Linked DNA regions of Callithrix jacchus. The protein of the gene in region 1 interacts with the protein of each later gene in a biochemical or structural test. Links are inferred from orthologs where the notes say so. Each region holds a gene or a part of one and is shown on either strand. Other genes may lie near its edges. The genes, in order: MIS18BP1 and MIS18A.

Region 1 (15,504 bases):
TTTCACTGTACTATCTTTTCATACCTTTACCCCGTTCTCTATACCAACATTATGATGAGGAAGAATTTTTTAAAACCTTCTCCAAGACAACCTGCCAGCTTTAGACAAAAGTATTAGACTTAGAAACCTAGAGATCTGGAATTCTGGTGCTGCCACAGATTGGATACGTGTATGTTAAGCTTACAATATAAAGTGTCACCCAGTCTTGAAAACTCTGATTCTTCTCTGCTTGCTGTAAAGTTCAAAAGCATAAAAGACAGTCAAAGAGTTCCAACTTATTCATTAAAAATTAAAATGTTGAGATGCAACAGCAGACTCAACCATAATTAATGTTCTTTAGACAGCTCTTTAGTAGGCCTCCAGACACTCAGAAGTCAAAGGTTTCTCAACTAAAACAAATAAAGACTAATAGCACAGCTTACATTTTATTATGCTTTACCTCCTAGATCTTTGAAGCTTAAGGTTCTCAAATGTAGTTTCTTTCACACAAAAAGGCGGTGATAAAAGACTTAAAATTTGATCCCGAGAATAATTATCTTATATGTTTAATTTTAAATCTTATACTTGAAAAAACTGGTAGTGACTATGCTTTAATTAAGTATGCCACTTTGATCTCAGAAATCGTTAATATAAAGATTGTTATAACAACATGTCACAAAAAGAAATGATAAATTTCTGTATCTTTAACTCATTCTACTGAAAATGGCAAGACAATTCAGTAGTAATTCAATCAAATGCAACAAGTTATATTTATTCACTTATTTGGGAATCCAAGGTTCATGCAGACTCTCTAAAAGGTTTCTAAAACTATATATAAAATTTGTGTTTGTATTTGTGTGTATATTTTCTGGGGGAAAGGGGTCACCAAATTCTCAAAACAGGTATTTCTTACTCTCAAACGCTACCTTATTGTATTTAAACAATTTAATCTGCATTACTTCATTTGCTTCTTCCTTTTATCCTAGGCTATATGCCAAATAGATGACTTTGTGAGTCTCCCCACTTCTACCCCCAAACTCCCTTAGAAAACTATGTTGGAATATGTCACTGTCTTGGAAATTCAACAACATACCTACAACCTACTGTATAGTGGTTAAGAACATGGGCTTTCTAAGAGATAGCTATATTCAGTTCTCAGCCTATCACTTGTTACCTATGAGACATACAGCAAGCAGACTTACTCTCTCTATAAACCCCATTTACAGACTTCTAATGGGTGTTTGTTGAAAGGATTAAAAGAGATAATAAGCCCAGGCTTGGTGGCTCATGCCTGTAATCCCAGCACTCTGGGAAGCAATAGCAGGCAGATCACCTGAGGTCAGGAGTTCGAGACCAGCCTGACCAACATGGAAAAAACCATCTCTACTAAAAATACAAAATTAGTCAGGCATGGTGGTGCATGCCTGTAATCCCAGCTGCTCAGGAATGCTGAGGCAGGAGACACGCTTGTATCTCGGCGGCAGAGGTTGCGGTGAGCCGAGATCATGCCATTGCATTCCAGCCTGGGCAACAAAACTGAAACTCCATCTCAAAAAAGAGAGAGATAATACATGTAAAATACCTTTCATTATCAATGACTGAAACTCAGTAAAATCTCGATTTCAACTGTTATAGTGTCTATCTTTCCAGATAATTCTCTCAAATCCAGTGACTATCCAAACAAAACGTTTACTTCTTCACAATCCCTCATCTCCTTCAGATCCTTTGCCCTCATTGATCAACTTAAATTTCACCATGACTCCTTCACATACACCCTTAACTCCTCTGTCCTCTGTCACTTTATTCTATTTGGCAAAATTACAACCCAGTTAAATCCAATTCCCTCCCTATTCTATACCAGCACCTTAGCAGCTACACAGGGTTAAAGGAAAACTCATAGCCATATTTAGTGGTTCCAGTTTAAATTCATGTCCATATATCTTAAACAGCTCTTCTGTGTTACCCAGGAAATCAAATTTAGGCCTCTTCCAAACTATTCAAACCTCTACCTCCTCAAACTGCTTTCCACATTCGCTCAGCTGATGACTTTACTTCTTATTTCAGATTATTTGTGAAGTCATACAATAATGACCCACCAAAGTCTGTGTAAACGGCTTTCTTTTCTGTTAACAATTGGTCTGCTGTGTTCTGGTCAAACCTCTAATGATGCATTAGATGATATTTCCTCTCAATCAATTACTAAAGGGCATCATACTAGCAATTTCAATTTTTTTCTTCCTACCTCATTATTCCCAACAGCATACAAAAATGCTGCATTTCACCAAGTATTAAAAATGATAAAACTTTAAACTACACTTGCCATTATTTCTTTGCCCCCCTCAAAAAGACCTGTCTATGTTCACTACTGCCAATTCCTCTTGTCATGTTCTCTCCTGAACCCTTTCAAATGTTTTCATTGCTATCATTCCTCCAAAACCACCCTTAAAAAGTCAACAACGACTTCCTATTGCTGAATCGACCAGTAGAATCTCAGCCTACTTGACCAATTAGAAGCAGTAGACAGCTGACAACTCCCAACTTAAAGTACTTCGTTCTCTTGGCTTTCACTGTATCACTCTCCTGGTATTCTCAGTGGCCTTTCTACTCTTTTTTTTTTGTTTGTTTGTTTTCCCCTTAGAGCTCTGCTCTTGTTGCCCAGGCTGGAATGCAATAGCACGATCTCGGCTCACTACAACCTCCGCCTGCCAGATTCAAGATTCTCCTGCCTCAGCCTCCTGAGTAGCTGGGATTACAGGCATGTACCACCACGCCTGGCTAATTTTGTATTTTTAGTAGAGAAAGGGTTTCTCCATGTTGGTCTGGCTGGTCTCCAACTCTCAACCTCAGGTCATCTGCCCGCCTCGGCCTTCCAAAGTGCTGGGATTACAGGCGTGAGCCACAACACTCAGTTGGCCTTTCTACTCTATTCTACCTTGTAAAGCTGGAGTACCCAAGGGTGCAGGTCTTGAATGTTTTTTCTTTCTACACTTACTCCTTGATGACTTCATCTAATCTCATTGCTTTTGAAATACCATTTAGGTGCTAGAAATTCCCAAATGTACTTTTGTCGCCTTAATCATTTCCTTATATTCCCATTAGTTTTTTCCAACACCCTAATTATACCTAAACTTAGATCTTTAATAGACATTATCAAAATTAACATGACAAAAATCTTAACTATTGAGCCCGCACTTCATTCCTCCTTCAGTCTGTCCCATTTCAGTTAAATCATCTTCTTGGTTGCTTAGGCCACAATCAAATAACAAAACAAAAAACACCCTGAGCTGTCCTTTATATCTTTTTGTCTTATATTCTACACCCAATCTATGAGCTAATCCTATTGGCTATCCCTTCAAAACACAGCCAGAGTCCAGCCACCTAGTATCTTCACTACTAACACATGAACCAAGCCAACACTGGCTGTCATCTGGCTTACTGTAGTAACTATTTCAGAACAGCCAGAGTGGTATTTTAAAAACTTAAGTCATTGTACTCAATGGTTAATCAACAAACCAAAAAAAACCCTCATAATTCAGATCTTGTCATTCACATGCTCAAAACCCTCCAATGCCTTATTCTGCTCACAGTAAAAGGCAAAACTCTTATATTTACCTATAAGGCCCTTACATTATCTGACCCACCCTTATTTCTCCCTCCTCAGCTCTATCTAATCACTCCATGATACACTAACTTCTTAGCTAGTCATTCAACATGTCAGGCATGCTCCTATTTCAAGGCGTTTATAACAGCTGTTACCTGCCTAGATCATCCTTCCCCATTCCTCAAGATACGTATATCTATTATCTCATTCAATTTTGTGGGCTCAAATTTCCATCTTCTTATTGAAGCTTCACTGACCACTTCACTGAAAATTACATCCCCCTCCAACTCTTCCCCAGCATCCTAATTCTCCTTTTTCTTCTTTTTCTTTTCTATTATGCCATAAAAAATTACTTGTTTAATATGTTCATTATGTCTTCCCACCACATGAATGTGAGTTACACAAAGGCAAGGATTTTTGTCCATTTTACTCACAGCTATATTCTAGCACCTAAAACAGTGTCTGACACATTAAACACTTAAGACATTACAGCTTTTTAGCTAACACATAAAACTAACCTCTTAGTGAACTGTTATCTGACTGGAATAATTTGTTGTTTTCCTTTTCTTCACAGAGGTAGGTATGCTGCAGTAGATTTTTGCCAACTCTGTTAGGAGTGAAGGTTTCACTACTTCCACTTTTCTGTGGTTCCAACAAACTATTGTTTCTTGATGGCTGTTCTTGCTTGTCATGCAGTACTTTTTCTTTCATTCTTTGAAATATTTTTCCTGGTGATTCATAGTTTGCTTTATTTTTTAATCCATCCTTGTTGGGCTTTATAACACTGATATCAAGAGAACTGTTAGAGATGGCAGCCTCTGCCAGCATGGTTGATTGAAATATATTTTTATTGTTAAAAGTTGTCATTTCTAGGAACTGATTCTTTTTATGGTCATTCAACTTTAAAGAGGAGTTCTGATATTTCACCAAATCTTTTACAGGAGTAAGTGTGCCTGAAGGTATGCTGTCAAAAAAGATTGCATCCATGGGTAGATCTTTCCTTTGAGACGATGTCTCTGAAGGTAAGTAAATTCTTGGATGTTTCACAGGTGTTGCAATCATCTTGACAGGACAGTAGCAAGCAAGTTCTTCTAACAGAAAATTCACTTCAGCACAATTTTCAGACAGAACTTCAGCAGCGATCCACAGAAACCTGTAGTTCAATGTAAAATCAGCCTTTATCATGCTTAGATGCAGAAAAGGTTTAAAGTTTATATGCTTTCCACAACACTATATTAATTAAAATGTTAAACTGGTTCATAACAATGCTAGATAATCTATAGCTCACAAATCAGACTAAGATTTTATTTTTGTTAAAGTCTACTTAAAAAAAGAGCTGGGTTGGGGCCGCAGTGGCTCTGGCCAGATGTCCTGGTGCTTGAGGAGGTGAGGCCATGAGTTCAAGGCCAACCTGAGCAACGTTACAAGCTCTCATTGATTAACAAACAAATAAAAAAAGAGCTGGGTGTGATGGTGCACACGCCTGCAGTCCTAGCTACTTGGGAGGCTGAGCAGAGAGGATCACTTGAGCCTAGGAAGTCAAGGCTGCAGTGAGCCATGATTGTGCCACTGTACTCCAGCCTGGGTGACAAAGAAAGACCCTGTCTCAAAAAAAAAATAATAAATAAATGATACATGCACATGGCAATACATTAGGTTACAAAAGATAAAGTTTTACAAATATAATTTTTCTCTTTAGACACTTAAATTTTAAGGCAGCAACTACAATGATCTATTCTAATAAAAGCTAAAAAAAAAAAAACTATTCAATTATTTAATAATACCCAATCCTGATTTTTTATGCTCTAGAGCATTTACATTTTAAAGTCTTAGTTGAAAAATCCTCAAATGGTAGATTATTTTCATTCTGATTTTTGTAATACTATTTAAAATTTTTAGCAGAAACATTGTACTTAAGTTTACACAGTTTTAGCCTTGCTTTAACTTGTTTCTTATGTATAAGTTTTATTATTCACACCTGGAAATTAAGGTTCTAGGCGAGGAACCATACAGTTACATTAACTAATATTTGGTAAATAAATATTTCAGTCCAAGGATCCTGGAACTTACTAGTCTAGATTTACAGCATCTCTTACTGCTGAATTTATAACTATTCCAATTAGTTAATATCATATAAACATAAAAAAACCTATGACAGAAAATTCTAACATAGCCAGACAAAAGATATCAATTATCTTTATCTACAGGAACATCTGTAAGAAATAAGCAATTAATATAAAAAGTATTATCTAATCCAATAATTTATGTTAATAGAGAAAAAAAAGGAAAATATTCCTATATTATAACAGCCAACAAAGAGGGGTATCTTTGAAGTCTGGAGCTCTAAAAACTGCTATAATTCTTCCACATAATATGAATACTGCAAATACGTATTAATGCATGCATGTATATGTTTACTATGTGCTAGTTCCATGAGTTCTTGTGCTGGATGTTATATTAACCATTCGCTTCATTTCTGTTTTGTTTTTGAGACAGTGTCTCTTTCACCCAGGCTGGAGTGCAATGATGTGATCAGGGATCCTTGCAACCTCGAAATCCAGGGCTCAATCAAGTCTCTTACCTCAGCCTCCAGAGTAGCTGGGACCATAGGCGCACATCACCACAGCCAGCTAATTTTTGTAGTAGTGTGTGCCTCTGCACCTGAGCTATGTTTTGTTTTTGTTTTTTGAGAGGGAGTCTCACTCTGTTGCCCGGGCTGGAGTAAAATGGCTCAATCTCGGCTCACCGCAACCTCCACCTCACGAGTTCAAGCAATTCTCCTGTCTCAGCCTCCTGAGTAGCTGGGATCACAGGCGCACATCACCACACCCAGTTATTTTTTGTATTTTTAGTTAGAGATGGGTTTTCACCATATTGGTCAGGGGGAGTCTCTAACTCCTGACCTCGGGTGATCCACTTGCCTCGGACTCCCAAATTGCTGGGATTATAGGCGGGATTACAGCCTGTTGCCCAGACTGGTCTCGAACTCCTGGCTCAAGTGATTCTCCTGACTTGGCCTTCCACAAGTGCTGGAAGGAGTGAACCACCATGTCCGGCTTAGCTGTTCATTTCAAAGAAAGACAATAAAGCTGTATAATCACTCAAAATCACAAATGAATAAACTCGGCTGGTTGTGGTGGCGCACACCTGTAATCCCATCACTTTGGGAGGACAAGACAGGAGGATCACTTGAGGTTAGGAGTTCAAGACCAGGCTGACCAACACGGCAAAACTCTATCTCTACTAAAAATACAAAAATTAGCCAGGTGTGGTGGCACATGCCTGTAGTCACAGCTACTCAGGAGGCTGAATCAGAAGAATCACTTGATTCTGGGAGGCGGAGGTTGCAGTGAGCTGAGATCACACCACTGCACTCCAGCCTGGGCAACAAAGTGAGGCTCCATCTCAAAAAATAAAATAAATAAATAAATAAAATAAACTGGAAAACTGCAAAGCAAAATGGCAAAGAATGTTCAGGTTTACACAGTCTCAATTCCTCAGAGCCTAATGAAATGCTAAGCAGAAAGTAAAAACTGCAAATAAGCTAAGAGCACTGAAAACAGATCCAATCTGTAATGGACATGTAGAAGTGTATCCATTTAAAGGCAGATAATAGTGGTCACATAGAAAGGCTCAAAGAACCAGCACAAAGATTTCTGTTGCCTAACATCTTTGCCCCCAATTCACGCAAGTAGTAGGATAAAGATTGGGTAGCCAAGATTCTGAAAAGCCTTCAAATTCCACTTCCCCTCCCAAAGATGCAGAAAGTTGCTCTAAGATACCTTTTTCCCACCATGTGATAAATAGCAACTCAATGTAAGTCAAAAAAAAAAAAAAAAAAGCAGCCAATATTTGCCAGGGGTTTGTTAAAGACAGAATAAAGAGAAAAAAAATAGTCTACAATTTCCACTGACCACAGAGGCTTTGCAGAGTAAATAAATTAAAAAAAAAAAAACACTGGGTCTAGATAAACCAAGACAGATCTGAAGCTCCATTTCCTTCCTAGTTAAAAGAACAAAATAAATCAGCCTCTGATGAAACACAGACATTAGTGGAGACTAAATAACTGGTATCCCTCAAGTGAAGGAAAGAATAGTTTGTCCTGAAGCCAACCAAGCACATTTGTTGACCTGACAGACGGAGGTCACTCATTGTCAGTTCCCTCTAAGACTGGATAAAGTATGTTTCTCTTTTCATCAACTGCTTAAAGTTGTTTGGAAAATCTAATCCTTAAAACTTATTCTAAAAGCTGACAAATGCTGATGTACTAGGAAAAAAAAAATGTTTTCAACATGAAGACAAAGGAATGGGAAAACCATGTAGGAAAGGGCTGGCCATAGCATTTATAGTACAGTCATGTACTGCATAATGATGTCAGATCACACATATGGAGGTCCCATAGGATACCTTATTTTTACTGAACCTTTTCTATATTTTGATATGTTTAGATACACAAATACTTATCACCATGTTACAACTGCCAACAATATTCAGTAAAGTAACATGCTGTGTTACAGGTTTGGCGCCTAGGAGCAATAGAATATAACATATAGCCTGGGTTTTTATAAGTACACTCTATGATACAGGCACAGTGACAAAAATCACCTGAATGTATTTCTCAGAACATATCCCAGGCAGTTATAAGTGACACATATAAACACAGAACTGAAGCTAAACAATTGTTATGTATATGATCCTGAATATAACTACTCCTCCTCCTCCTCCCAAAAGATGGAACGTTCTTGTAAGAATTTACTGTATTGGTAACAATAGTAATAGCTATTACTATGAAGGGGTCAAAAACCCCAGAGCACACTAACCAAAACTGGGAGACAGAATTCGGCATAAAAATAGAATTTTAGGGGTCCAAAGTGGCTCCCGCCGGAGGTCGTGGTGCTTGCGAAGGCGAATTCATCAGTTCAAAGCTAACCTGAGCAACCTTATAAGCTCAAACTGATTGGCAAAAAAAAAAAAAAAAAATAGAATTTTAAGTTAAGAGGTAAATGATACACTTGAAATAAGTACTCAGCACCTATGACAAAGGATTAATTTACATAACATTCAGAGACCTACTGAATCAATTAAAAAAAAAATGTTCAAAACAGAAAATGGTCACAGGACATGAAAGACAATTAATAGAAGAAATAGAAAAGGTCAATAAACAAGTAACACCTGATTTTACTAATAAACGGAGATGCAAACTGTAACAGTGAGACTTCTTTTACATATCATATTGGTAAAGATTAATTTCAAAATGCAAGTCTGTATGCCACTGACACGGAAATTCCACTTCTAACTTGTTTTTTTCTTACAGAAACACCTACATAAGAATGCAAATATATATGCATCATAATAGCCGATATTCACTGAATATTGACATGCCAGTCACTATATAATCTAACAGCAACTCTAAAGAGTTAAGTACTGTGGTTATTCCCAGTTTGAAAAGAGAGAAATTAAGGTATAGGTGGTTAAATAACCCGACCAAGGTTTACTTAACAGTAAGTGAGAAAGATGATCTAATTCTACCTCCAAAGTCTAAGTTCTTTACCAACAGGCAACATAGCGTACACAACCACTACACAGGGAAGTTCATGCTGCAGTACCTGCACCATAAAATGAAATTAAACAACCCAGATGTCCACCAATAAAGGACAAAATAAATTCCGCCACATCCATACAATTTACTCCATGTATTCAACAAAAAGATATATATGTACTTACATGGAAAAAATCCAAGAAATATTAAATTGAAAAAATGTAGCAGAACAGAACATATAATTGCATTTCTGTAAAAATAAATAAATAAATGAAACACATATAAGCATAGAGAAAAACTCTGGAAGCAAGTGAACCAAATTGTGAACAGTATTATCTCTGAAGGACAGGGTGAGGTGACCTATCATTTTTTTGAACTCCTGACTTTAAATGATCCACCTGCCTCGGCCTCCCAAAGTGCTGGGATTACAGGTGTGAGCCACCGCGCCGGACCATTTTCTAAGTAATTTTATTAATATCTAAAGCTGTGTTTTAGAAGAAAACATAAACTGAATGGATGAACTTCTTCTGTAGCCCTGGGTCCCCAAGGGGAAGAGTTGGGTACTAGGGCACACAATTTTCCTACTTGGTATTCTTTTTTTTTTTAAGTGACTTTAGAACAAAGACCTAGAACGCTCACCATAGAAATAAATGTGAGCAATCGTGTTCTACTCTGCAGTAGACACGCAACAAATAAACATCGAGTGCGCAGCTGTAAAATCAGTACCAAAGCTAGAAATCTACGAAAATTAATAATAAAACGGCGTGGGCCGAGGTGCTGAAAGGACAGGCCGCCCACCACCGGCGGGGACTCGCGACGGGAGGCGAGCGAAGGACGCGAGGAGGACGTACCTTGGGTGAAGGGCCTGGTAGGGCGAGACTGTGGTAGTGCAGGCTTGGCTCCGCGCGGAGGGAGGGCCGGACGCCGCGGGGCTCTCGTCTCAGGCCCACGGTGGCCCCTGCCCGCGACGGCCGGGCCCCAAGCGACGCTTACCTACTCCGCGAGGTTCTCTAACACCCACAACACTTCCGCAATTCAAATTTGAAAAGCCCGCCCTCCAGTCAGCCTGGGATTGGTAGGGTCGGAATTGCGCCACCGTGCGTCTTACTGGGACGCAGGCAAATTTCTGGCTGCCTCCGCACTCGTGGACCGTAGTGTTTCCACAAAAAGTAGGCGACCATAAGCTGTCACAGACAGGGGCGAGCTAATTCGTTTCGTCTTCGCAGCGCACGCGCCCAACTTGAATGCCCTCATTCCTCAGGTGATGCTCTGTCGCTGCAAGGCTGACGTCGGAGACGCCGCAAGCCGCGCGCGCGCTGCTGCGGTGAAGTTTGGCCCTTTCTAGCTGCCGTCCTCCCCTACGGGCTGTGCGCAGTAAAGGCTGCTATCCCTCCCTTCTATCGCCGGAAATCTGCGTGCTCCGTGGGTTTGAGAGAACTTATGTTTTTCTCAGTCCTCCATGTTTGAGGCGGATAAAGAACATTTTGTTTTTGAGGGAATGATGGATTGAATGTAAAGTTACGCACAAAGTGGGATGTTTAGTTTGAACGGTTTCCACAAGAAGTGTGATTTGTGGGGGTGGGGGTGGGGTGTGGGGGACAGGGTCTCTCTGTGTCGCCCAGGCCTGAGTGCATTAGTGCAATAATGGTTCTACTGCAGCCTGAAACTCCAAGGGATCTTCCCACCTCAGCCTCCCAGTATCTTTAACTACAGGCGCGCGCGACGAGGTTTCGCTGATTTTAATTTTTTTTTTGTAGAGAGCAGGTCTCACCATGTTGCCCAGGCTAGTCTCGAACTCGTGGGTTCAAGCGATCTTCCCATCTCGGCCTCCCAGAGTGCTGGGATTACACAGGCAAGCAACTGCACCGTGCCAGGAAGTGATTAAAAAGATTTTTTTTAATCACCTCTCATTCTAGAAACATTAATCTTGACAACTCTAGGTTGCAGTATGCAGTTTCTAACAGTGGCTTCCAGGCTGCGTCCCTCGTTAGACTGCGCCCAATGAATCTGCACTCTTAACCACCGCAGGTGTATCTTTTGCCTTGTATAGAACTCGTTGGTTCAGTCTTGAAAGTAGAGAAGTGGAAGCCAGGGTAATAAGGCGTGTTTTCAGCCCCAAATTCTGTCCGCTTCCAATCCTGCATGAAATGTGCCCTCTTCCACCGCTCATCCGCATTTGTGACAAGTGAGTTTCTTTTTATTTTATCGTTCATCTAAGAAAATTGGTCAGCTTCCTGGTCATATATCACATTTTCCTGTTAAGACTTAGAGTCCTATACTGAAAAGATTGTAATGGATTAATTTTTTTAAAGTGACTTGCAATCCCTCCTAAGTCGTCCTATATCTACACCGAATAATCAGAATCCAAAATATAAGTATAAAACATCCACATGACTGCAAGTAATGAAAAACAACAGTTGGAGGTAGGGGAAAGGAAGCAAATTTACTTGAATAAAATGAAGTTTCTTGCTTGTACATCATAATGAGAAAATGGTTGGACATGGATTTCCACTAGGTTTGTGGGAAAAGCCCGCCTTAAAACAGGTTAAATGGCGTGTATGAAATATACTTTGATAGAGGAAGTTTGAAGGGATTGGCATTCCGATTTCAAAAGCATCTGAAATTGAGGTTTCTGTGCCCGATGAAGATGGTCGTGGCTCACACCTTTAGACAAAATAGGAACCCTGAAATATTAATGGCAGGCACTTAGAAATGCACATTTTTAAAAATTAGTCACTTCTCATGTGAGAAGGAAGTAGCATATATTATGCTCCAACATGAATGGTCACAGGAATTTACATAAGATGACTAATAATTTTCCAAGCAAAACTGAATTAAACAGTTTGTGGATAGCAAAGTGTGATGAGGAGGCCTAGTGGCCAAGGGAAAGTGTTCATCTGTCCATTAATGTCAACATGCTGTAACTGCCCAAGGGGTTCACCTTGCCTGCTGCCTACACAGAGCTGATTCATCAAGAGAAGGTAATTGCCATAGAGAAAGAGTAACATGCAGAGCTGGCTGTGTGGGAGACTAGTTTCATTATTACTAAAATCAGTCTCCCTTGAGCATTATGGGATCAGTTTTTAAGGATAACTTAGTGGGTGGTGGGGAGCAAGTGAACTAGAGTGCTGATTAGTCAGGGATGAAATCATAGGATGTGGAAGCTGTGTTCTTGCTCAGTCAGTTCCTGGGTTTCGGGGTGGGAGGTCACAAGATTAAATGAGCCAGTTTATTGCTCTGGGTGGTGTCAGCTGATCCCTTAAGTGCTGGGTCTGCAAAATATCTCAAGCACTGATCTTAGGAGCAGATTAGGGAGGGTCAGAATCTTGTAACCTCCAGCTGCAAACCATAATTTCTGATATTGTGACTAATGTTAGTTCTACAAAGGCAATCTAGTCTCCAGGCAAGAAGGAGATCTCCTTTGGGAAAGGGTTGTTACCGTCTTTGTTTAAACTATAAACTACAAACTTAAGTTTCTCCCAAAGTTACTTCAGCGTGGAGGTTAGAAGCAAGATGGAGTCGGTTAAGTTAGATCTCTTTCACCGTCTCAGTCATAATTTTGCAAAGGTGGTTTCAATGTTGCCCTGGGTTGGTCCTCCTTTAAGTTTCTGTCTGCTTGGAGGGGAGACTATAATGAGAAGATGATTGGATGTGGTTTTGCAGTTCACAGTCAGCCACTTGGGATAATCTGTCCCATCCTAGGCCTGTAACACATGGAAACACATGCAGACCCATGTCGGGTCTAAAAAAAATGAAGGTAAAAGAGACTGAAAGTTTCACACTGTGTGCCAGTTCCTACCAAGGAATCTGGGCCTGCTTAGCCTGGAGGAATATTCCCAGGACTGTGATAAGTTCTAGCAGGACTACTAACTGACCGTATGACACTTTTGGAGAAAGTAGGAAAATGCTGTTTCATCAAAGCTAAAGGTTCTCAAGCAGGAACAGTTTTTCCCCCCTGGGGACAATTGGCAATGCCTGGAGACATTTATAAATGTCACAATTAGGGAGAGTACCGGTGGCAAGGACAGATAATACTACCAAACATCATAATGTTCACAGGACAGCCCCCCACCACTACAAAGGATTAACTATTTTAAAATGTCAGTAGTGCCATGGTTGAGAAATTCTGCTCTTGGCAGATGTAGCCCTGAAACAGGATTTCAGCCCCCTCTTACTCTCTTAGCAGGATGCCTTTATGGAAGGCACAAAGTAAAACCATTACTCCCCTGTACAGGCTACAGGAGGGAGGCAATGAGGAAGTTATCCAGGTTTTGTGAGAGGAGGACCCTTCAGTAAAAAAGGCAGCTGAGGAAATTGCTATGTGATGGAGGCAATATATAAACTCATATCATATTACAAATTGTGATAAGAGCTATAAGGTTATATCAGTTTGCATTACCCCGGAAGCTAATGCCAAGTTGGAAGTAGGATTTTGGGAAGTATATCTTGTGAAATACTAAAGGGAAGGAAGAAGAATTGGACCTGGTAAATCTTCAGATCTTGATACAGATCTGACATTTGTAAAAGGAAAGATTGATGCAAGTGGAATTGGGTAGGGGCAGTCTAAGATTGCAATAGAGATTTGACAGAGTCTTGGCTAACCCAATAGGAAGAGAAGTCCTGCAGTGGGCAGACAAGGCCAGGCCCTGGTATCTGCCAGGGTGGAGGCTGCCTGGGAAGATGGTTTTAGCACAAAGGCTTTAACAGATGTCAAAGGCTTTGCAGCCAGAGGCTGTTAGTTAACTTGTAAGTCCTTTCTCCTTTGATGCTTTTCCCAACAAACTGCACTCCTCACAGCTCAGTGACTTTTTTTTTAAACGAAAGATCAGAGTTGCACGCTTCCATGCCTGTCACAGAAGAATAATTAAAAGAGTGTAGCAGTAAGATTTTATTTTCAGGCACTTTCCATTTTTTTTGTTGCAATCCACAATAAAAAATATTGTACATTATAACCTAATAATTATACAAAACTACACTTAACTAAAACAAAAGCTTTAAAAGCATTATACTTAACATTACTCTATGCAGTGCATGCTATTATTTTCTGTTTCCTCTTTAAAAAAAGAACTGCCTGTGGTATGCAATTGTAATACAGTATGAATATTTTCATGTTTCTGCATGGTCAGGGCTTTTAATTTTTAAAAAATCCTAAGGTCAAATTCTCTTAAAGTAACCATTTTAAAGTGTACAATTCAGTGACATTTAGTGCATTCACAATATTCTACAACCATCACCTGTAAAACATTTTTTATCATCCTAAAAGGAAATCCCATAACTCTTAAGCACTCTCTCTTCTCCCCTTCCCACAGTATTGAATCATACAATATTACAATATGGACCTTTAATGTCTAGCTTCCTTCACAGTTTTTTTTTCCTGAGGTTTATATACCTAAAAAATTATACATTGTAGATCAGAACTTTATTCCTTTTTATGGCTGAATATATTCCATATTGTGTGTATACCACATTTTATTTACCTGTTCCTCCATTGACATTTGGGTTGTTTCCACCTAAATCTATAATAACCGCATTTGAAATTATACCAACTTAGTTTCAATAGCATACAGAAACTCTGCTCCTAAGCAGCTGAGTCCTCTCCTTTATGTTTCTTTTATTACCAATTACATCTATATACATTGTGTGTCTATTAACATAGATTTGTAATTATTTTATGCACTTGTCTTTGTTCTTTTTTTTTTGAGATGGAGTTTTGCTCTTCTTACCCAGGCTGGAGTGCAATGGCGTGATCTCGGCTCACTGCAACCTCTGCCTCCTGGGTTCAGGCAATTCTCCTGCCTCAGCTTCCTGAGTAGCTGGGATTACAGTCACACGCCACCATGTCCAGCTAATTTTTTGTATTTTTAGTAGAGACGGGGTTTCACCATGTTGACCAGGATGGTCTCGATCTCTTGACCTCATGATCCACCCTCCTCGGCCTCCCAAAGTGCTGGGATTACAGGCTTGAGCCACCGCACCTGGCAACATAGATTTGTAATTATTTTATGCACTTGCCTTTTAAATCATATAAACAAAGAGAAACTACACACCAAAAACATATCAGTCCTGGCTTTTGTATTTAAAGATGTAGTTATATCTATCTAATGTCTTGATTTCTTCTTATAGCTTTGAGTTGCTGTTTAGTTTTCTTTTATTTAAGTCTGAAGAACTCCTTTTAGTATTTCTTATAGTAAAGGTCTACTTGTGACAGACTTCTTCAGCTTTTATTTACATGCTAATATATTAATTTCTCTGTTGTTTTTGAAGGACAGTTTAATGAATATACAATTCTTGGTAGATAGTCTTTTTCTTTCAGCATTTTGAATATGTTATCCCACTGCCTTCTTGCCTACATAGTTTCTGATGAGAAATCAGATGTGCTTATGAT
Region 2 (15,472 bases), on another chromosome or scaffold:
CAACAAAGGACAGAGTCATACTAAACAGAGGAAACAGCACTGCTACGTTCACGACATACTTCTAAAGCCAACAGTGCTCTTGCTGACCATCAGCAGAATAGCTCAGGCAGGTATTCCGCAGGATGGGCTTATGGAAAAATTCACAAGCATCCCAAAGCAATATGGGAGTGTGGAGCACACAACCCTAGTGAAGTCCAACACAACTGAAGGCAGCATAATCGATGGGTTTAGGTGACACAAACAAACCGTATTAATGGCTCTGAGTCAAAGAGAGTGAATTCTCTATCAATCCTGATTATAAAAAAGAAGAAAGGCTGGGCGCGGTGGCTCACGCCTGTAATCCCAGCACTTTGGGAGGCCAAGGCGGGTGGATCATGAGGTCAAGAGATCGAGACCATCCTGGTCAACATGGTGAAACCCCATCTCTACTAAAAATACAAAAAATTAGCTGGGCATGGTGGCGCGTGCCTGTAATCCCAGCTACTCAGGAGGCTGAGGCAAGAGAATTGCCTGAACCCAGGAGGCGGCAGTTGCAGTGAGCCAAGATCACGCCATTGCACTCCAGCCTGGGTAACAAGAGCGAAACTCCATCTCAATAAAAAAAAAAAAAAAAAAAGAAGGAAAAAGTCTTGGTTTGGTGCTAGACTGTCTTTGACACTTGTCTCACAGTTGCAAATCTTTTAATAGTAAGAGAACAAACTTCAGGCAGAGAACCAGCCAGGCAATAATATCTCAGCTAGAAGTAATCACATTTGTTTTCACTGTAATTATCTTCAATTGCTTTCTAGTTATGGCAAGTTATATGTTGATGATAGTAAAAAGAATCCTTTTAAAATTTAAATAAAAATTTTAAGTCGATTTAATTTTAAAAATTAAGTATGCAATAGCAGAGCTGGTAGGTAGTACACAAATAGGGCAAAAATGATGAAGGTGACATCAGAATGGCTAGAGCTGGGAAGTGGAGAAGAAAGCATTTTGAAGGAAGTCAGGAGGGATAACAAGCATCATCCTAGCTCTTCCTGCTAATTAGTCCTGTGACTTTAGCAAAGTTCTAACCTCCCTGGGCCTTACTTTCCTCAACTACAAAATGAGAAATGATCTAAGGCTGGGTTTTCTTAATTCGTATGGCCCACATGCCAGCACCACAGTTTGTCACAGCCACAAACTATCTGTACTGGTTTCGGTTTTTTTCTTTTTACTTTTATGGGAGAGATACATAGGACAAAGACTGCAGAAACGGGGACGCAGAGCTTCCAAGCCCTTTCTAGGTACACCACCCTCCTGGCATCTCATATTCACCAACCTGGAAGTTCTCTAAAACCTATGGGTTTTTTGGGTTTTATAACATAGGCAAGATTGATTAAATCATTGCTCATCATCCCTAGCCCCTCTCCCCTCCATGGAGGTAAGAGAAGAGGTTGGGGTACAGCTGAAACTTCCAACCCTCAAAAGACCCTTGGTCTTTCTGGCCCCCCATCCTGAAGCTACCTAGGAACCCCCAGCCACAGTCATCTCTTTAGGATTCAAGAGGACATTACCACCACTCCAGAGATTCTAAGCATCTTAGAAGCTTTTGCATCAGAACTGGGGCCTAAGACCAAACATGATAACAAAAAATATTATTATCACCCAATCACTTAAGAAATTAAAAGGGTTTGGGGAGCTACTAAGTTTCTGTCTCCTGCTAAATGTGTAAGTTGAAATCATAGTACCTAATGTGATGGTATTAGAAGGTGGGATCATAAGGAGGTGATCTGGTCATAACGGCATAGAGTAACTTTTTAAAAATTAAATATACTTTATTTGATAGGATACTCCAGCATACCAGTATTTTTAATATACATTAAAATACATACAAAACTAATTTTTGTTTAACTGTGTACCACCTGAAGTTATTCCATATGTGAGTATAAGATACAGTTTACATTTGGAGCAACAATTATACAGGGCAGCACGTCCCACTCAGTATACTCAGGTGTTACTATGGCACATGGGTGGCAGGTATGGCAAGATGTGTGTCCCCTCAACCCTTAGAGTAGCCACATAGGACTTTAGCTTGCTGGCGCTCCTGTGTTGTTTGGTCCTGCCTTATCTGTTTACCCCAATAGGCTATGTGTGTGTGACAGCAGCATTTTATGTGTGCTACAACATGAGAAAGGTGGGCAGCATTAGCCTAAGGCACTCTTTAACACTGAGATTTTATAATACAGGTATTTTCCCTTTTTTTTTTTGGAGACAACAGAGTCTTGCTCTGTTGCCCAGACTGGAGTGCAGTGGCACAATCTTGGCTCACTGCAACCTCCACCTCCCGGGTTCAAGCTATTCTGTCTCAGCCTCCAAAGTAGTTGGGATTACAGGCACACACCACCACACAAGGCTAATTTTTGAATTTTTAGTAGAGACAGGGTTTTGCCATGTTGGCCAGGCTGGTCTCGAACTTCTGACCTCCAGTGATATGCCCACCTCAGCCTCCCAAAGTGCTGGGATTAAAGGCATGAGCCACCATGCCGGCCTTCTTTTTCTATTTTTCTTTTCTTTTCTCTCTTTTTTTTTTTTTTGAGATGGAGTTTCGCTCTTGTTACCCAGGCTGGAGTGCAATGGCACGATCTCAGCTCTCCGCAACCTCCGCCCCCTGGGTTCAGGCAATTCTCCTGCCTCAGCCTCCTAAGTAGCTGGGATTACAGGCACGCGCCACCATGCCCAGCTAATTTTTTATATTTTTAGTAGAGACGGGGTTTCACCATGTTGACCAGGATGGTCTCAATATCTTGACCTCGTGATCCACCCGCCTCAGCCTCCCAAAGTGCTGGGATTATAGGCGTGAGCCACCACGCCCAGCTCTATTTTTATTTTCAATTTTCTTCAGCATCAAGCCCAAAGATCCAAAAAGGGAGTGTCAGAATACACTTTTATAAAACTAGAAACTCTAATTTTTCAATATCTAAGGGTGACCACAACCACTCAAGAATTGATATACTCCTTTTTGAAATGGGATATAGAAAAAGAAAAAAAAAACTGATACATGTGAATGACTGACTTTTACTATCATAAAAACTTTTATCCCAAGTAATCTTACTACTAGTAACGACCTTTTAAAGATTTTAATTAAAAAAAAAAATTCTCTAGCATACTCATATAAATACAGCTTTACTCACCAACCATTTTCCTTTTCACGTTTGGATAGCTTCTGCTCCTTATCCACGGAAACATTACAGGAAACACCTATAGAGAAAGTAATAATTTATTAATGTGGTTTGTTACAACATACATGCAAAGAGTTAGAGAATTTCTAATCCAACTTTTTAGAACTTGGAGGACAAAAAATAAGCCCAAAGTCAAACACACACACGAGTGGTTCAAAACTAAAAGTACCAGGGGTCTTCTGGGAAAAGATGGCAGAATAAGAGTTATTTCCAACCAGCCGCAGTGGCTCACACCTGTCATCCCAACAGTTAGAGAGGCCAAGGTGAGAGGATCGCTTGGGGCCAGGAGCTAGAGATCAGCCTGGACAACATAACAAGACTCCATCTCTACAAAAAAATTTTTAAAGAAAAATGTTAAAAGGTTATTTCTTTCCTTTCCCTAGAGAGAAAAATTCATTTAACAGTAAACTTGGAACCATTAGAATCTCAAATCACAGACTGCAAAGAATTATCTGCCAGATAGTGAAATTGGGTTCCAAACCTAGGAAGATGCAAACAGCCAACACATCTATCTCCAGATTTCCAACACAGGACCCATTTCTCTAAAAGTAACTGAGACGGTCCTCAGGATCACAGCCACACATCTTTTACTTGGACAATGACTTGGACAGAGGTCACAGCTGGACTCCAGAGGCAGCAGCAAACATTCTCAAAGAATCCAGGTCTAGGACACACTAAAGGACAGGGTAGAGGATGAAAAAGAAACAAAGAAGGGACATCAGACCTAAAATGACCAGAACTGACTCTTAATTTCACCTCCTCCTACAGTCTACCTTAACTTGGTAAACTCCACCTCCACCTACGTGCTTGCTGAAATCAGAAACCAGGTGTCTTCCTTGATTCTTCATCTCCTCATCCTGCTTCCCGGTATCTACTCCACTGATCATCCCATCCATTCTACCTCCCAAACCTCACTCCAGCCCCCAAACCACCAGCACCACCTCTTGCCTGGACTCCTGCTCTGGCTCTTCACTGACCTCCCCAACTCTATACTTGTTCCTCCTTCAATGTTTTCTCCAGAGAAAAAGCAGGGTCATATTACTCCCCTGCCTAAGCTAGCATCACGGTTTACTCACTAGAACAGATTACTATTCTTTAGGACAGACCTCAAGGCCCTGAACTTTCTGGCCCTTTAATTCCTCCCTAAATCTTTACTCTTTGACCATATTCTAGTCTCCGGGCTTTTGCATGAGCTGCTCAACACCTGTTAAAAGCAAACAGCATGACCTAGAATTGTACCTGTTGCCAAGCTAGCATTCACATATTAAAAACAGGAAAACATTTTCAAGCACATCAACTTGAAATTTTCTTGGCGATGTGGGGGAGAAGGGCACTAATGATGATTAGTCAAATAACTCAGGAATGAAAAAGCTATTAAGAAGCTTTCTTATGGTAAAGACTAGTGGAGTTGGGAAATAAATTTATATAAACATTATAGGATCAGGTGCTGTAGCTCACCTCTGTAATCTCAGCACTTTAGGAGGCCAAAGCAGGGGATTGCTTTGGGGCCAAGAATTTGAGATCAGCCTGAGCAGCACATCAAGACTCAGTCTCTACAAAAAATTTTAAAATTAGCCAGGTGTTGATGTCTGTAGTCCCAAGCTACTTGGAAAGCTGAGTGGGGAAGACAGTTTGAGCCCAGGAGTTCAAGGTTACAGTGAGCTATGATTGTGCCACTGTACTCCGGCCAGGGCAACAGTAGGCTGTTAATCCACTACAACCCTTAATTCACTATAACCTTGTCTATTCAAAAAAAAAAAAAAACCTATTAAATAAATAACCCTATTAAAATAGAAAGGCTGTGTTATGGCTACAAAACGCAATGTAAATGTACAGAATGTAAATATATAAACCTTGACAAAATGAAAACAATGAAACTATCAAATTGAATGGAAATGAATCCGAGTTCATTTGTCTGTCTTTACTGGGGTCGGGGGAGAGGGCAAGGTGGTGTTAAATCCCCTCTAATCTGATAAATCAAAAACGTATAGTTCTTTAAATTTTAAACTATGTTTGCTATTTTTAAACTATGTTTTAAATTTTAAAACTATTAATATAAAAATTAAATAACAAAACAATACCCTTTCTATATGTAAAGCAAAACAAAGGACGCACATGGCAAAAGACAAACACTATCAAAACAAAGTACAAATAAAATGAAAGTTGTAACACCAAATATGTTATTTCTTAAAAAGATGTAAATCAGGTAAACTCATTCAAACAAAGAGCTTCCCCTACTGGATCAAAAATGTGCACGGTTTGGTTTTAATAGGTGCAAAGAGTTAATCTCAACTTTCAGTTACCTAGTGGACACTGATGTGCTCCTTTATTCTCAGTATTACACTGAGGAAAACGTTCCAGAAACATCGATAAGACGATGGTGAGTTTTTGCCATCGAAACATTTACAGTATTCAAAGACAGGAAAAACTTCATCTTGAAAAACCACAATCCAAAAGTAACAGCCATTTTCACATCAATTCAGAAAAAATGTAAGTGAATCACTTCATCCCTAAATACTGCAAAAACAGCAAAATGAGAGAACAGTGGAAAAACAGACATAACTGCTAGAACCAGGATTAGAAACTAAATTCCCGTCTTCTTCTCTTTTGCTACATCCTCCTTCCTCGCTAATTTTGATGAGATTGCTGCGGCTTTTATTGCACGTTTCCGTCCTTTTCTTCCCCATAGCACTGTGTTATGTCAGCTCTGCGGCTCGGCATCGCTGATGCACCAACAGCCCGCTAATTCCTGTGGGGAGTCGTAGGGCTGGCTACGCCTCAAGTGCTTGCAATCTAGTTAGCCATTTGTTTCTCTCTTTTCTTAGGACCTTTCAAAAAACGTTATTCTTTGTTGCCCTTTGTTTCTGAGTCATGCTGACGACGGTGCTGATTCAACCGCTGCTCTTCTGGGATCGGGGACCACAGAAAAGAACCCGTCCCGCGAGAGCCGAAGTGGAAGAGCGACCCTCCTCCCCTCCTCCTGCGACAGCTCACACTCTCATGCTTTTTGCTCTTAAAGTCCCTGAGCAGCTCCAAGGAGCCTCCTTGTCCTCCGGGGCCCCCCAGGTGCTGCAGAGCTGGAAAAAGGCGACCCCAACCCCCCAACCCCCCACCCCCCAATCCCCAACCCTGCGCGGCCCGACCCAACTAACAGCGTAGCAGGATGCAGTTGGTGTCCTCCTGGCTGGTCACCCAGCTCAGCGAGTCGCCCAGCGGCCGCCGGCAGCTGGAGCACAGGAACACCAGCGGCCTCTCCTCCGCCGCCGCCGCCTCCTCGAGACGCGCCTTCTCCGTGTCGGCCACCGACGCGTCCTCGCTTGTGGAGCGCCACATATTCGTCCACTTCTGCAGCAGCTGGTGGCGGCTCGAGTCTTCGGAGAGCCTCTTGCTCAACAGCGAGGAGTCGCTGCACTTGCCCTTGTCGCCGTACTCACAGCTGCCGTCGCATCCTGTGCAACACCTCAGTGACGGAGCTCCCGCCATTACCTACAAATCGCCCGCGCCCCACAGCGTCAAGGGAAGAAAAAAAAAACAGAAAGGCCCCTGCGCATGCGCAGGGCAGGCCGCAGTGGCGGAGGCCGAGAAGGGGCAAATGCCTTAGGGGAGGCAGGACGGCGGGCGGTCACTGCGCTTGCGTCACGCTTTCTAGTTTGAAGAAATTGACGCTGCAGACCTGTTTGCTTGTCTTGCTAGGGATTATTCGCCCCTTTCCGTGGGAGGGGCAGCGCCACTGAGAAAAGTACAGGCTGTAAGCTTGAGTGTCTAAGAACCACTTTCCCAGACTCCGGTTCAGTTGGTAGCGGGTTAGCCCGAGAATCTGCATTTCTAACAAGTTCCTAGGCGTGCCCACGCTGTCAGTATTGGCAGCCCCACATTTTCTAGGGGGTGGGGAGCAGTACTGCTATGTTGCCGGTCTAGAACTCCTAGCCTTAAGCGAGCGTCCCGCCTCGGCCTCCCAAAGTGCCAGGATCGCAAGCGTGAGCCACTGTGCCAGACCAACACCCTTTTCTTTTTTGTAAATGGACTAATTATAGTTGTATATAAGCAGCTCCACTTTTGATGACCACTGCTCCTGGGGGCCTCCTTTCCATGAAGTGGAGAAGGCAGGGGATAGGGGGTGACCCTCATCACAGGGTCCTTTTGCACATTGTTATTCCTGGAATGAGACCCTGGGGACGGCCCCAGATCACTTAGGCTGTCACTGCAAGGAAAAAGTTGAGGAAGCAGCAGTGCCCCCTGGAAAGCCTGAAAGCGCCCCTGCTGCTTGGATCATGGAATCATTCGTCCTTGCGAGGTTCGAGAAGCATCCCTTCTTGCTGATAAGGACAGATTTCCTCAGCTGCCCGGAAAGCCAGCCTCTGCCTGAAACACCCCAGGTCAGGAGGAAAGCTGACAGGGAACCAGCCAGCGGCACCACAGACAGCCTGGCGGCATACCTGGGAAGAAAGCTACCTGTAAGGACCTACCTCTGCTCCCACTACGCTCTGGATGTTCCCCAAGTCACTGTCTACTTGCCCTAGTTGCATGAACTATTTACATAAATGTACTTCCAATTTTAGTGCTTACGGCCACTAGCAAAAAGCAAAGGCTTTGAAGTCAGTAGTCCTGGTTAACTCACCCCTCCCTCCACAAGGCAGTAATAATGTAGGGAATTTCGGAAAAGGGTGTTTGCCTTCCCTGAGTCTGATTCTTCAATACTACACCAAGTTGTTAAAGAGGATCAAGTTTTCTAATATTGATGAAAATACTTTGTTAACCCTAGCACACCATGCTCATGTTCATTAGCTTCTTACTGGAAGAAAATGCTTCAGATAGTTGAGGCTTTTTTTTTTTACCACCCATAGAATTCCCTTCCTACCCTCTGCTTTTTTCTTCTTTTCTTTATTTTTTCAGAGATAGTGTCTCACTATGTTATCTAGGCAGGTCTCGAACTCCTGGCCTCAAGCGATCCTCCTGCCTTAGCCTCCTAAGCAGCTGGTACTACAGGCATGCATCACCATACTTGGCCCCTTCTGCTTTTATGGAGCCAGGGCTGACCTTCCTGGACAGTTGTTTTCAAGTATAATATCTCTGGGACAACATTGATAAAATCCACATGAGTTTAAGTAAGTGGCTGGTTACTTTTGGGAATCAAAGGATCATCTCCTTTTCTCAGACTTTGAGTTCCTAATGTCAGTACTTAAATTCTATGATAGGATGCCCCAGGAAAGAAGGAATACAAGGCCGAGCTGCATGGTGACTTTCAGCAGCCCGAGTATTTTTGATTTGGTAGGCCCTTCCCTCCATAAAACAGTTAATAAAAATTTCATTTTATAGTTGCACTGCTATGAAGATGATATTAAAATGATATCATAAAACTTTTTTAGACCTATAGGTTCACTTTTTTCTTCTGATTAAAAAAATTGAAACATTTTCATGAGCCTTAATATCACGGTTCCTAGGCATGATGCCTCCTGCACCTCATGAAGAAGTTGGCTGATGCAAAATGAATTCCTCCATAGGCACAAGTGTGTTTGTAGGAATAATATGAATATAAAAACAAGGCTAGCCATGGTGGCTCATGCCTGTAATCCAGCACTTTGGGAGGCTGAGGCGAGAGAGTCACTTGAGCCCAGGAGTTTGAGACCAACCTGGGCAATATAGAGAGACCCTGTCTCTACAAAAATTTAAAAATTAGCCAGGCATGGTGGTGCACACCTGTAGACCCAGCTGCTTGTGAGGCTGCGGTAGGAGGATGGCTTGAGCCTGAGAGGTCGAGGCTGCAGTAAGCCGTGATCATGCTATTGCACTCCAGCCTGGGAGACAGAACGAGATCTTGTCTCAAAAAACAAAACAAAATTTCAGCTAACCACAAAATCATCATATTTATGGGGAGACAAAATGAGATGCTTGAATAAGACGATCTCGCATTTCATGGTTGAGGTTGCTTCCTGAACTACATTCTCATCCTACCTCCTAGTTATACGATGAGGAGATGTGGGGAAGGTTGAGTCCATCTCCACCGCTATCACCACCGATTCCAGGAATGGGTCCCTGGAGGTTTAACACGATCAGTCAGATGACCATGACTCTTCCTCTAGTGTCTGGGGCAGGGATGGCTACCCATGGTGCTCCAATGACAATAAGGCTTGGCTCAGAATAAAAACTTGGCCTGGTCAAGTTCAATTTTGTCCAGTCTGAGTAAGGGAATCACCCAGCCTCTGGACCCTTCCAGTTGTGTGAGCCAGTCAGTTCTAGTTATTGTGGAAGGCAGTTTCAATTGTTGTTTTGTTTTGACTAGCAACCAAAAATGTATGTAATCATCTGTTACAGTATGTTAAAATTGAAGTTTCCACTGAGACTGGAAGATGAGGTAAAAATGAGATGCCAAAGTGTGTGTGAGACAGATTGCCCTCCTTCCTGGAGGAATCTTCAGAGTAGATATAAGAGAAATGATTCCTCCTGCTTTTTCTTTTTTTTTTTTTTTTTTTTTTTGATAGAGTCTTGCTTTGTCACCCAGGCTGGAGTGCAGTGGCGGGATCTCAGTTCACTGCAACCTCCACCTCCCAGGTTCAAGCAATTCTCCTACATCAGCCTCCTGAGTAACTGGGATTATAGGCACCCACCTCCAAACCTGGCTAATTTTTGTATTTTTTATTTATTTATTTATTTATTTATTTTTTAATCCAAAATGTGTTTATTAAGATAGTTTCCCACTCATCTTGATTCAGAGTGCTTTTAGTGCTGCTTCCTCCTGAAAGAACATCCTTCTGTAAGCCTTGCTTTTCCTCCTGTAGGCTGGCAGAGGACAGTGGAGCAACCAACACACAAAACTACCGTTTGTGCATGGCTGAAGACCGTGGTGATTTTATAGCATCCTGGGCATTTCACATCCATGAAGTAGGAATTGGGGCTTTGCACTAGGCGTTTCTTCTTGTGTTTCCTCTTCTCCTCTTCTGGAGACGGATGAAGGAGATCCTTTGCTAGAGGCATGTTCTCATGCGTAGATCGTCACCGCCGGACAATTTTTGTATTTTTAATAGAGACAGGCTGGTCTCGAACTCCTCACCTCAGGTAATCCACCCACCTCAGCCTGACAAAGTGCTGGGATTACAGGCATGGACCACCGTGTCTAGCTGATTTCCTCTTCTCTTAAACCTCCTCTCACACGCTTTGGGAATATAAAGGAAAGGAGAAAATGGTGACCAAGATGACTTCACTGGAAGGATCTCTTTGGGGATGGGCTCCCCCAAAATAGAGAAGAGAGCATCTGCCTCCTTGCCTCAGTTTGGCTGACAAGAGACTTTGAGGAAGCATTTATATACCTGTTGGTTCCCAGGCCCTTGGGGACAAGGGTGACCTGCAGGTGGGTCAAGCTGCATGTGTTTTGGTAGCACAACAAAGGTGAACAAGGTAGGTTGTCAGCCAGATCTAAACTTTGCTGGCAGGAAGTCACCCGGAGTCTTAATTTCTGCCCAAGGAGCTAACCTGGAAGCACGAAGACTCCCCACTGGTGAGTCAAGAATGAACAGCACTCCTGGAGAACCAATCAGGGCAGAGGGAGAGCCGGCCTGAGGTGAGGCCTTGCCCAGTGGGTCACGGACATGCACTTGGGATTTGGGAGGTGCAGGGAGTCCCCAAAGGGGCCAGGAGAGAAGATCAGGAAGGCTGGGGTGGCCTATGTCTTACCTGGGGCAAAGGGAAAACAATTCTCATCCTGTAGTGAAGATTGCTATGTTGATTAGTATCTTAGACTGATGCTACCATTTCTTCACTGAGATTCTGCTTTCAATGAAAGTGCCTGCAGAATTGTCTGTTCCCCAAGAGGGCCTTAGAAAAACACATAGGGGAGGCACTAAAATTCTGCTAGTATGGGGAGGGTTTCTTCGCAAAGGTTTGTAGGAGAGAACCATGTAGGATGGTGCAGGAATCCGGGTTAGCAGCCCTGAAGCCAACATCACCTCTTCCTCAACCTAGAGGGATGCTGGGAGAGGTTAGCAGAAGGAAGGAGTGTTGTGAAGAGCAGAACACCTTGAGATGACCATCTTCCCTCCAGGGTCACAGCAAGCTGGGGTGGCCTCAAAAGAAGGGAGGCAGGAGACTACATTCTCTGACCTCACTCTCTTCTGTCCCACCAATTTCCTGCTGGAACTCTGAGACGTTGATCACCACCTGCAGGAGTCTGTCCTGCAAACCGTGACTCCATGATGGATGAATCAACGCACTCAAACGGTGAACAAGTGGGCTAGGGAGGTCATCAGCTGCTCTCAGAGGGCGATTGCAGCTACCTAGTCCCCCCACTAGCTCTACCTCACGTGTATTCAGTATGGATTTAACAACAAAGGCTTTGAGTAAACACATTTGTGGATAAAACATGGATAAAAGCGTAGTTCTTCCAAAGATTAAAGCTCAGGTGCCGATACCCCGAGTAAACCCCATTGATTGATAATATCACTGGTTAACACATCCCCCCCCCACCAGAGGACCATCTGGCTCAAAGATTACGCGAGTAAACAGGTAGTTAGAGACAAAAGGGTAAACAGACTTAACTGGGGAAGCTTCTGTTATCCCTAATCTTCATCCTATGACCTAATGCTCTAAGGTAAGAACCGGCTACCTTCAGCCTGTTCCATTATTCCAAGTTAAGGAAAACCTTTCGGCCTTCCAAAAGGTTTGAGACTATATCTTATAACTTCCCCTAATATTTTCCTCAATATTTTGCCAACTACCCTGAGTAAATCCCAGCAGAACTCCCTATTGCCCACGTCCAGCCGGAATCCACAGGACACAGAGCATATTGATGTAATCCATACAAGTTCACCATGGTCAAGAGCAGGGTGGAGAGTGAATAGGAAGATAGATATCCCCCACACACTGCGCTTGTGCTCATCCAGGGCCACAGGGAAGACGAGAGCAAGGTAGAGAGTGAATGGGAAGATAGATATCCCACACACACTGCCCTTGTGCTCATCCAGGGCCACAGAGAAGACCATCGTCACTGAAGAAGGTCTACGTAGCGGAAGGCAAAACGTGAGAGAGAGTTCTACTTTGATTCTGACCTGCAGTCTTTTCTTGCACAACATACGGGTTACTTGAACTACCTGATTCAACCCTAATGCTTGGCTTGATTCAGAAGCTTTAGTGTAAATTACAAACAAATGCTCATTATCTAATTTATATCAATGGCTAGCACTAGAGGGGAGAGAAGAGCAAGAAAATATAACTGGGAGAGAGAAGGAAAAAGAGGAGGAGAAACAAATGGGATCTTGATAATTTGGGAGAATTATGGCCTTTTAAGAGTGGTCTGGCAATTGAGGAAAATCAGAAATTAATGGCTACAGGCCAGGGGCAGTGGCTCACGCCTGTAATACTAGCATTTTAGAGGCCAAGGAGGGATGGATCGCCTGAGGTGAGGAGTTTGAGACCAGCCTGGCCAACATGACGAAACTCTGTCTCTACTAAAAATACAAAAATGAGCCCAGTGTGGTGGCAGGTGCCTGTAGTTCCAGCTACTCGGGAGGCTGAGGCAGGAGAATCGCTTAAACCCAGCAAGTGGAGGTCAGCTGAGATTGCACCACTGCACTGCAGCCTAGGTGAAAGAGTGAAACTTCGTCTCAAAAAAAAAAAGAAAGAAAAAAATTAATGGCTACAGAATACAAACACAGGCTATATTTTAATTTTATGTCCTTCCTTACACTAATGTGATATAATGACAGGTCACTGGAATCGGTCAGCTGGCCCCTTTGGTGCATTAAGGGTTGGCTGCAGCTGCATCTGAGGACCAGTTGATCCAATTCCTTATCTTTTATATATATATATATTTTTTGAGACAGTCTTATTCTGTCACCCAAGCTGGAGTGTAGTGGTGCGATCTCAGCTCACTGCAATTTCTGCCTTTCAGGTTCCAGTGATTCTCATGCCTCAGTCTCCCGAATAGCTGAGATTTCAGCCACATGCCACCATACCTGGATAACTTTTTGTGTTTTTGTAGAGACAGGGTCTGGCTATGTTGTCCAGGCTGGTCTGCAACTCATGCGATCCCCCTACTTCGGCCTTCCCTAGTGCTGGGATTACAGACATGAGCCACCACACCTGGCCTGATCCAGTTATTGGTAGAAATATGTCTAAGGACCAAATGGCACCCAAAACTGCCTTCCCAAGAGAATGCCATGCTGAGCACTCAGCTCCGAGGGACCTTCTGCCACCATCCAAACCCTCCTTAGGGGGATAAAATGCACTGTGGAAAAGTGTGGATATGTATTTATAGCTCTGTTCTGGGAGTGAAACAATAACTGCAGGAATATACTTCACCTTCTCCAAAATCCTCAGAGGCAGGGTGTTCTTTAAATAGTTCTGTTTCCCTCTCCTAGTTAGTGTGTGGAATCACGATTTTCCAGTCCTTAACAGAAATATTTGGTTCTCATGGAAGTTAAAAAAGAATAAGGAAAAGAACATGATTTTCATCGAGTCATAATATATTTCATCTGGGAAAGAATCCACACATCATGATCCACATGTGTCAGTCTACAAGTGGAAAAGCTGAGGTCTGGTGTGCTTCAAAGGTCACAGATCTAGTTAGTTGCAGAGACTCATGGACGTCTGGGCTGATATATGTCAGGTACCCTTCCCCTCTCAGGAATATTGCACCTCCTCTCACCACTCCAACAGTGTGGCTGTTGTGGGCTCCCATCCTGAAGGTCTTAACTCACTCCTGCCCTATCCCAGAGGAAGCGACATCCTAGCCCTGGTGATCAGTCATTCCCACCAGCCACCTTCCTGGCCACAGCAACTAGTTCAACTAGAGTCAGTCTGTGTCCATCCCTGGAACTTTTCATGCCAAAGCTTGAAAGGAGAGTCCTCTGCTCACCCTTTCCTCTTGAATCATGACTCCAGAGCTGTCATCAACCAATGTCCCTAGCCACATGGAACAGGCTACCATGACACTGACCCTCCAAGAGAGACAAGATGCAAGGTGGAGCCTGAGACACCCTCCAAGAGAGACAAGATGCAAGGTGGAGCCTGAGAGTCCTAGCAGCACGCACACCCCACTGCTCCCCATTCAGCTCCATGGCCCCACCCCACGGCATGGTCCCATTAAACCCCACTGCTGTTTAAGCCACTTACAATTGGATTTCTGTCACTACCAAGGGAATCTTGACTAAATGCAGATTGCAGTCCAGAACCTAGGTCTCTGAACCCCAGGTACACTGGTCACACCACACTGCTGAACTGTAACACCATACATTTGATAGGACCTTGTAGTTTTCAAAATACATCTTTCAAGGGGGCTAACTCTGAGGAATTCCAGTATCATGTAAGAGAAGAATATGTTTCCAATGTAAATTTCTTCTATTAGCTGAATCTTCAGATTGGAAGAGCATACTAATTTCCTGGCACAAGAAATGAAATAATCTCACACCAAGGCTTAACATTGTGAATTATCAGAACTCCAACCGTAAGAGAAATTTCTAAAACTTTTCAAAGACGAGGGAAAAGGTACAAGAGTCAGATCACATTAGACTTCTCATCAGCAACCTGACTTCAGAAGCCAGAAAGCTCAAAGTTCAGCGAGCATGTGATTGTCAGACTGGAGTTATATCCATGCAGATCACGATCCAGATACCACTGACATTTTCAGGCATAACTGAACTTGACAATGTTATCTTTTACATAGCTTTTCTTATTTGAAAATCTGCTACAACAGGAAATGTAGAAAGATAGGTCACTATAAAAGAAAAGCAAATATTTAATTTATGAAAAGGTTCTCTGCCATGCTCATTTTTAAACTACACTAAAAACTAGTAGCTCACCTATCACTTTGGTAAAATCCAGAAGCTTGACAAAATAATCTGGTGTCCATACTGTTGCCCAAGAAAACAGGCACTTTTATACATTGCTGATAAACATGCAAGACATTATAACCTGTATAGAAAGGAATTTGGCAATATCTAACAATTATACACGTACGTATCCCTTCTCTCTCTTCTCTCTCTCTCTGTCTCTCTCTCTCTCTCTCACACACACACACACACACACACACACACCCCTCACATCTAGGAATAGATTCCAAAAGTACACTGGCAAAAACATAGTAGAACATGAACACAAGACATTGAAGCACTACCTGAAATAGAAAAGACTAAAGCATCCCAAACATTCATCAACTGGGAAGTGAATGGATACGCTGTGGTACATCCACACAGTGGGAGCATCATGTATCTGTGAAAAAGAAAGAGACTTCTCTGCATGCCATGGAGGGGGTCACAAGAATAAACATTTTACTTAATAAA

The links.
Region 2: the proteins of MIS18BP1 (region 1) and MIS18A form a complex in vitro, tested with the Homo sapiens proteins (2 studies listed by BioGRID). The link is inferred for Callithrix jacchus from reciprocal best matches to the Homo sapiens genes MIS18BP1 and MIS18A.

What each region holds. Positions count from the first base shown.
Region 1 is NC_133509.1:79,844,059-79,859,562, forward strand, and holds the start of MIS18BP1 (mis18-binding protein 1), read right to left. Parts: upstream 10,157-15,504; 5' UTR 9,971-10,156; intron 9,370-9,970; 5' UTR 9,358-9,369; coding exon 9,305-9,357; intron 4,734-9,304; coding exon 4,099-4,733; intron 1-4,098. UniProt on the Homo sapiens protein: Required for recruitment of CENPA to centromeres and normal chromosome segregation during mitosis.
Region 2 is NC_133522.1:38,417,942-38,433,413, forward strand, and holds the start of MIS18A (protein Mis18-alpha), read right to left. Parts: upstream 6,712-15,472; 5' UTR 6,687-6,711; coding exon 6,356-6,686; intron 3,223-6,355; coding exon 3,156-3,222; intron 1-3,155. Other genes in the region: small ribosomal subunit protein eS27, read right to left, coding at 9,921-10,175. UniProt on the Homo sapiens protein: Required for recruitment of CENPA to centromeres and normal chromosome segregation during mitosis.